2 linked regions of the Macaca fascicularis genome follow. The protein of the gene in region 1 purifies or fractionates together with the protein of each later gene. This does not show direct contact. Links are inferred from orthologs where the notes say so. Each region holds a gene or a part of one and is shown on either strand. Other genes may lie near its edges.

Region 1 (4,340 bases):
GGGTTGGCCCACTTCTTCCCAGGACACCCCTGGCCAATTCAAGGAGGTCTCTGGAGTTCAACTAGCAGGTAGGGTGCCTGTCCTCCACTTTCCTATTCCCAAGCAGCAGGCGAACTCTGTGGATCCTTACAGCTTAGACCATATTCTCTGAGGTCCTAGGGTCCCTGAAGTCATGTAGGGGTGTTCTACTGGCACTCCTGGGACAGATTTCAGTGCCCATGCTGCACCAGTCCTTCCACCTTGCCAGTAAGAGAGATGGTGTGGCTGGAAACCTTGAACAGTTTCTTGATAAATTTTCAATCAAGGCTGCCAGGTAACGAGGGAGGGGGTGTTGCTGGAGATTCCAGTCAGACACTCCACTTTCTTTGCTCCTGGCTGCTCAGCTCAACAAGTTCAAGACACAGCCACCTCAGTGCCTGAGTAAAATATGCTCAGGGGATGTGCTAGGCCTCTAAGCACCTTGGGAAAATTCCTAGGATGCCCAGCCCAGCTGTGTTTCCAAGGACTCTGAGTCTGCAATTGAATTATTACTGTCTGCCTTCCCCGACAGTTGCTCTAGAGCTAGGCTGGTGGAGTTGGGGAAAGGGCCGGCAAGTGAGAGTCAGTAGTCCTAGCTGGAGGCTTGTCTTTCTTCTAAACCGCTCTTTGAAATAAGAGGATTCATTGCCCTACATAGAAAAAAGGGGGCTGGACCAATAATTACTTATAAGACTTCCAGCTCTCCAAACCCAATCTGCCCTGGCTCTAGTCCAGACCTCTAGAAAGAGTGTCATCCCTCTCCTTGGACAGAGGTGCTCTTCCTCAACTGTAGTGACTGTAGCTCTCCTCTCCCCAACGCACAATGAAGTCACCTTGCCAAGGTTTCCTGAAGGTCCATTTTTTTTAATTGGCTTAAAATCTCACCCAGCAATCCCTAAATAATCTAATATACAAAATATAGACTTTTCCTTGCTGTGAAATCTCATTAATAAATACAAATGTGTAAAACGGCGCGGGGGGGGGGCATATAATTTACTGTACCAAACTTGATTTCAAAAGACATCATATAATTTACAAACCGATTAAAAAAACAAAACAAAACAAAAAACATGCGCGGTGCTCCAGGCACCTGCAGCGCAGCTCACGTTTCAGGCGCAGCTCGCAGGGAGGCTGGGGAGGTGCTCCCTGGCCGGGCTGGGCTTTCCCAGTTCATAGCCTGGTCTTCCGCCCCGGGAGGGCAATGGCTCCGAAAAGTGCACGAGGAGAAGGCAGAGGGTCGCCTTCGTGGCTTTAAGGCAGAGTGAGGCGCCCTGAAACGCCGGACCTGATTGGGAGTAGAGAAGATCGGCAGCGTCTTTGGAGCAGGGCAAGGGGAGCAAGCGCTGAGAGACCAAACATTGGATTGAATCACATTGGAGGAGGGGTGGTAAGAGACTGAGAGACAGACTTGAGTGAGGGTAGGGCGACCCGAGACGGTAGGCGGCTCCGGCCGGGTAGTGCTACCATTCTCGTACTCTTAGAATGAGATTATGGCGTGGTGGCAGGGAGGAGGCCTAAAATGAGCGAAGTTTGCAATGCCCACTTCGCGCGGGCAGCAAGGGCTGCGTGAGTTGGCGCGGCTCGGAGGGCCGGGGAATGAACCCAGCCTGCAGCCCCCGCGGAGGCCTGGGCCAGCCAGGGGTCAGCCAGTGAGAAGCAGAAGGAACAAGTGCTTTTGAGGGTCGCCGCCATCGGCCACCCTCTAGGGCTCCGGCTCCCTCCCTCTCCCTTACCCTTGGCACCCACAGCCCAGCGACAGGCAGGTCCCTTCACAGAAAATCTGAGAAAGCCAGAGTGCTTGGGCGCAAGCAGGCGGAAGAGGTGGCCCCCCGCAGCCCGGGGCGCTCCTCCAGCGACGCGGCGGGGCTAAGGCTGCCAGCCTGGGAGACTGGGGAGTAGAGGGACCCCCAGTCCCCGGGGGATCCGCCTTCTGGGCTGCCCAGCTCCCCGCAGTGCGGCGCCGGCGACTCCAACGCGTAGAAGCTGTGGTCCGCTATGCGCAGCGTTTGAGTCAGTGCCCAGATGTAGTTGTGGGCGAAGCGCAGCGTTTCGATCTTGGTGAGCTTCGCGTCATCTGGGAAGGTGGGCAGGACACCGCGCAGCGCGTCCAGCGCCGAGTTGAGGTTGTGCATTCGATTGCGCTCGCGGTCGTTGGCCTTCTTGCGCCGACTCCGTCGCTGCTTGCTTAGTGCCAACTCGCTCTTAGGCCGGCTGCGTCCCGCGCGCCGTGCCCGGAGCTTCCTTGGCGCCCCTCGGCAGCCTCCCCCTTCCGCCTCCGCGCAGCTCCCCCGTGTGCGAGTGGGGCTGGGCGGAGCGGACGTGGGGCAGGTCACTTCGTCGTCCAAGGCTCTGGGGAAGGACCGCTCCGTCTCACCGGTCACTTGGACAGTGGACGCACCCGAGGGATGAGGCGTCATCCTACGGCGGGGTCAGAGGGAAGGGTAAGCTTGAGTCTGTCACTGGGCGCAGTCCGCGATTCCAAGGCTAGGTGGAAAAAAACAAAAAGAGCCATCCTCCCAGCCCCCGTCGGGTCAGAGGATCCCTCTTTCCCCTGCCCGTCCCTCGGCGGCCTCCAAATGTTACCTTTCTACCGGCGCAAAAGAATAGAGAGCGATGAGCAGCTAGGCCGTGGGGAGCTGAGCGGGCTTCTGGTCGCCAAGTTCAGCTGAGCTGCAGGCGCCCCAGCCTGGGAGTTGCCCCAGCCCAAAGGAGAAAAGAAGAGAGAATGGGGTCCCGGGCCTCTGTCGCGCTCTCTCTCGCGGCGCGGAGGTGAGACCGCGGCGATTTCCTGAGCAGCAAGTCGTGTGCCCCTTGGCACGCTTTATCTGCTTGGCCCGGGCCAGGAGCGTGCCTGCCCGGCTGCTGCCCGCGCCACCGGCCAATCAGCTCCAGGGCCCTGGGGCCGCGCCACGCGAGCCCGCTCCTCCCCCGCAGGGCACAGCTGGATTCCGGACAAAGGGCCGGGGTCGGGGGAGGGGAGCGCCGCTCTGTTTGCTCTCTCGCCGCGGGCTGGGTCCCAGCAACTCTCAGTTCCTCAAAGAGCCTCGCCCAGTGAGAAGGGCCTCGTGTGGCTCTCGTCTGGCCACCCCAGACCGCTTTGCTCCTAGCCTATCTTTACTTAGCATCTGTCCTGGAGGGGACTTTGATGCCTCTAGTGTACAATGCCCACACGTTACACATGGGGAAATTTAGGCTTAGTGAGGGAGATGGCTTGTCCGAAATCGCATAGCAAGATAGTGGCGGAGACAACCAGGAGCTCGTTGTCCTGACTAGCAGCCTGGAGAAGGGTCCAGGAATTATTCTAAAGTACGCCCTGCTCTCCTGGTGTTTCACTGCCTCTCTTCATCCTGGAAGACAAGGGCCATCACTGAGAGAGCTCCTGCCTATGTCCCTTCCATTCACAGACCTTCTATTGGGGGTGTCCGAGCCTCTGCCACACCCTGAAATGCTACCTCACCCTCCCCAGAGGCGCTTAGAACCCCACCCCCATAGATCTCACTCCAGAGGCAGCGGGTGACTGTGGGGGGGACCCCTCAAGGGGACATTCCATTATTACAAGCCTACTACAGCTTGTGGATAGTATCCCAGCATTCTGTCTAGGAACCGTGACAGGAAGAGTTCTGGGAAGTGTGAGGAGGGGAGGAAGGAACCAGGAGTTCACAGTGAGCTCTTGCGTCTTTTTTTTTTTTTTAAACAAACAGACAAAAAAAAACAAAAACAAAAACAAAAAACCCAAAAAACAAAAAAAACAAAAACAAACAGAAAAACACCAAAACCAAAACCAAAAACAAAACAGGGTCTCTTTCTGTCACCCAGGCTGGACTGCAGTGGTGCAATCACGGCTCACTGCAGCCTCGATCTCCTAGGTTCAAGCTATCCTCCCACTTCAGCCTTCTGAGTAGCTGAGACTACAGGCGTGCGCCACTGTGCTCGGCTAATTTATTTTGTATGGCAGGGGCGGTCTTGCTTTGTTGCCCAGGATGGTCTCGAACTCCTGGGCTCAAGCGTTCCTTTCACTTCAGTCTCCCAAAGCGCTGGGAAGCAGAGCCGCGGCGCCCCTCCCCCTTGTGTCTTTTGAACCATCACGGTGTGCAGGCACTGGGAGAAGCAGATAAACTTTTTCTCCCCTTAGTCCTTCGGTCCAATCACAGACAGACAGCGGCTGCCAGCAGTCACCTGCTCCACCCCCCTGCCTCGGCATCACTAGGGCATCGCACAGTGAGCACAAGGTAGGGACTCCCCAAGCCCCTGGGGTTGCCCCTGGTAGCGCTCTCTGGAAACCTTTCCAAAGGGAGTCTGAACTCATCATCCCTCCTTTCTTC
Region 2 (4,227 bases), on another chromosome or scaffold:
TGGTAAGATCACTATACCCAGAAAAACTAAAGAATTCTTTTTTTTTTTGAGACAGAGTCTCACTCTGTCGCCCAGGCTGGAGTGCAGTGACGTGATCTCGGCTCACTGCAACCTCTGCCTCTGGGCTTCATGCCATTCTCCTGCCTCAGCCTCCTGAGTAGCTGGGACTACAGGCGCCCGCCACTACACCTGGCTAATTTTTTGTACTTTTAGTAGAGACAGGGTTTCACTGCATTACCCAGGATGGTCTTGATCTCCTGACCTTGTGATCCACCTGCCTCGGCCTCCCAAAGTGCTGGGATTAAAGGTGTGAGCCACCGTGCCCGGTCAAAACTAAAGAACTCTTACAACCCAACAATTAAAAATGTAAACAGGCTGGGCAGGGTGGCTCACACCTGTAATCACAGCACTCTGGGAGACCGAGGAGGGCGGATCACGATGTCAGGAGTTTGAGACCAGCCTGGCCAACATGGCGAAACCCCATCTCTACTAAAAATACAAAAATTAACTGGACGCATGCCTGTAATCTCAGCTACTCAGGAGGCTGAAGCAGGAGAATTGTCCGAATCCGGGAGGCAGAGGCTGCAGTGAGCCAAGATCGTGCCACTGCACTCCATCCTGGGTAATAGCAAGACTCCGTGGGGTGGGGAGGAAGCTACAAATTGTATGATTCCATTTATATGAAATGTCCAAAAGAGGCAATCCATAAAGTAGCTTAGTGATTACCTGGGGTGGCTAGAGGGAGGAATAATGAGTGACTGCTAATAGGTATTGTTTGGGGATTGACAACAATGTTCTAGAATTAGGTAGTGGTAACCGATGCATAATTCTGTGAGGACTAAGAACCACTTAATTTAATAAACTTCAATAAATGGGTAAATTTTATGCCATATAAATTAAATCACATTAAAGCTGTGATTTTAAAAAAGAATTACATATACATCATAAGGTCAATTATAAAGAAAATTCAATTTATTTATTTATTTATTATTTTTTTGAGATGGAGTCTTGCTCTGTCCCTCAGGCTGGAGTACAGTGGCGCCATCTCGGCTCACTGAAACCCGGGGGTTCAAGCGATTCTCCTGCCTCAGCCTCCTGAGTAGCTGGGACTACAGGTGCTTGCCACCACACCCTGTTAAAATTTTTAGTAGAGACAGGGTTTCAGTGTTAGCCAGGATGTTCTCGATCTCCTGACCTCATGATCTGCCGTCTCTGCCTCCCAAAGTGCTGGGATTATAGGCGTGAGCCACTGCACCCAGCCTCAATTTAAAAATCTGGAAGATGACAAATGTCTATCTGTGTAATGAGATTATGGATGACTATAATGCAGAAAAGTGTAAACACTAACAGTTTAGGAGAAGGTGGGGCACCTGACTTAGGTCACAAACTCCCCGCCTCTGATGGCAGCCCTTACTACAGTGGAACCCCATCCTGTTACATATAAGTTACATGCCTTGCATTTTCACCCAAGCTAAACATTAGAGAGAGCAGGGTGCTACTGTATCAGCGCTGTAAATCAGAGATCAAACAGATTCTGTCAGTACTTTTTTGCGCTACATTTTTGTCTCCTTAGTAACCAGCCCACAGCAAATTTGTGTTCAGTGAATGGACTGCCTGGACCTTATGAAGCTGTCCAATTGAATCCTTCACTCTCTTGAAAACCATTTATCCACACCTGAACTCAAGGCTCTTCTAGGGATGACCCAGGACGGGTCTTGCAAGGTTAAGGGAGTCGGTGCCCTGGGATCCCCAGACCAGTACTTACTTTTCCCCGGCAACTTTCCGCACTAATTTCGCTTCTGTCCCATTCAGTTCCAGCTCCCAACCTCCAGACATCTTAGGGAGGGTTTTATGCTTCTGGATTTTTCTTTCCTCCTCAATTTCATCCTTCAGGAAATCAACAAAAGCTTTGTCTCCTAGAAAAGAAATCCATATACATAAAAAGGAAAGCCAGTTAGTCTAAAACATAAAACTATTACCCTGGTTATCGCAGCCAGAAACCTGGACTATTTCTAATCTCTCTGCTATTACAGTTACTCTAGAAGCCTCAGTTTCCTTATCTGTAAAAATACCATAATATTAGTGGGAAGCTGAGCCTGATGCTGGAAAAGTGATTTCCAACAATGAACGCATTACCACTTTCCGCTATAAAGCAGAAGAATTTCCGATCATCCTCTTCCACTTGCCAAACGATAGTTGTATCGTATGCTATTTTCAAACACGACCTTGGGCTTTCCCAAAAGTCCACTTTCGAGAGAATAAGACTAAGGATGAAGGTACCCTCTAGTATTTAATTTTATTCACCCCCCTACCAACAGAAAATGAAACTGGTGGATAGGGGAGGTGGGGGGAATATGATCACACGTGGGTTTAACCCGCTGGTTGCCAATCAATGGAAAAATGTCCCAGACCTCGGAGGTCGGTTGCAGGCCCCACTCCTGGTCTTTTCCCCTCCGTGAACCGCAAACCACACCCCTGGCCCGCGTGCGCGAACCTCACCTTCAGTGTGCAGCAAGCCGCAGCCACAGCCACAGGCGCAGGGTCCTCGAGGCCGCAGGAGGCCCGGCCGCCGCTCGGAACCTGCGCGCACGCTGAGCAGCCCGAAGGGCCGGGCGCACAGCCGGGGCGCCGGCTGCAGGAGCTGCCGGAAAGGCGAGGCGGGCGCGGCAGCGCGGAGGCTGGGGACGGCGGAGCCCAGCACACGAGGCACGCAGCGCAGCAGAGGTAGCATCGCGCAATCCACTGCGAACACGTGCAGATGCAAAGGACAATCCAGGCCCAAGTACCCCGCGACCTAAAGCGCCGCCGGAAGCCCCGCCCTTGCCCGGAAGCGCTTCCCGCGCCGGCGCACTGAGGACCTAAGGCCCCAGGCGGAATCGCGCCTTCTGCTGGAGGCCTCCGGTGCAGCCCGGGAAGCCTCGAATCCGGTTTCCGGAGCCTTCTTGCTGCGCTGGCCTGAGTCCTCTGTCCGAAGCTGTTTAATTCTTTCTAGTGGCCGCTTCCACCTACTGTTTTCAAGGCACGCCAGGCTTTTGGGCTGTGTGGAATGCACTCTTGTCTTCCCCCAGCTCTCACCAGCCCCTTACACGGTCACTTTCCTCTAGGAGGCTGTGGTGTTATATTATGTATTTATTGGTTTTCATCCCCAGTTCCTGGGTCGTAACTCCCATAGCCCTCGTTACAGTGTTCTGTGATAATGTTGGGTGTGTTAGGCCTCAGGAAACAGACTCTCACTCTCCCCTTCTCCCGCCCTCCTTTCACCCGCCCCAATGCAGGACTCTAATCTCCCACATTTCTGATTATGGGTCTTAAGTCCCTTCCCAGAGAAGGTCCCACCCTATGCCCTGGGGGAAGGGATGCTGATGTCCAGAAGCTTCCATAAAAACCCATGAGGACAGGGTTTGCAGAGCCTCTGATAGCTGAATACGTGGAGGTTCCTGGAGGGTGGTGGCCCAGGGACGGCGAGGAAGATCGGAGCTTCTTCCCCACTGCCCACCCTGCTCATCTCCTCATCTGTATCCTTGGTAATATCCTTTATATGAAACCGGTAAAAGTGTTTCCCTGAGTTCTGTGAGCTGCTCCAGTGAGTTAATACAACCCAAAGAGGGGGGTCGTGGGAACCCCCACTTGAAGCGGGCTGGTCGGAAGTTTCAGAGGCCCAGACTTGCCATTGCTGTCTGAAGGTCGGGGCGGTCTTGGGGACTGAGCCCTCAACCTATGGGATCTGACACTGTCTCATGGGATCTGACACTGTCTCCAGGTAGATAATGTTGGGATTGAATTGGAGGACACCCCGCTGGTGTCTGCTGCTTAGTGTGGAGGGAAAAAACCCAAACCTTTGGTCACAGAACTCTTCTGTGCTGATTGTTGTAAGAGCAAAGGAAGAGGTCAGGGTTTTCCTGAAAGAGGCCTTCCTAGAACCTCCTTTTTTCCATCGGCTTAGAACTCATGCTTGTGCGCACCCAGCCCTTAGGCTTCATTCTCTTCAACAGAAACCTCCTGGCATTGCTGGTTTTAACCGGGTTAAACCCAACCAGACTGTGACATCCTGAAGGGCAGGATCCATGAGTAATTTCTGTGACCTTCCCTCTCTGCACCTCCGACCCTGCATCCAAGTTCTAATGGAACATCATTTTTCTGGGGACAAGAAGCCGGCTTGTATCATTTAGATAGGTCCAGAAGCTTCCATAAAAACCCAAGGACAGGGTTTGGAGAGCCTCTGATAGC

Evidence for each region. Proteins that work in one complex are often made in the same cells at the same time.
Region 2: the proteins of NEUROG3 (region 1) and C1QBP purify together in Homo sapiens (affinity purification with mass spectrometry; 3 studies listed by BioGRID and IntAct, counting the BioPlex papers as one, with this or other methods). This does not show direct contact. The link is inferred for Macaca fascicularis from reciprocal best matches to the Homo sapiens genes NEUROG3 and C1QBP.

What each region holds. Positions count from the first base shown.
Region 1 is NC_088383.1:76,857,950-76,862,289, reverse strand, and holds the start of NEUROG3 (neurogenin-3), read right to left. Parts: upstream 2,816-4,340; 5' UTR 2,436-2,815; coding exon 1,788-2,435; 3' UTR 1-1,787. UniProt on the Homo sapiens protein: Acts as a transcriptional regulator. Together with NKX2-2, initiates transcriptional activation of NEUROD1. Involved in neurogenesis. Also required for the specification of a common precursor of the 4 pancreatic endocrine cell types.
Region 2 is NC_088390.1:5,502,455-5,506,681, forward strand, and holds the start of C1QBP (complement component 1 Q subcomponent-binding protein, mitochondrial), read right to left. Parts: upstream 2,827-4,227; 5' UTR 2,732-2,826; coding exon 2,500-2,731; intron 1,917-2,499; coding exon 1,766-1,916; intron 1-1,765.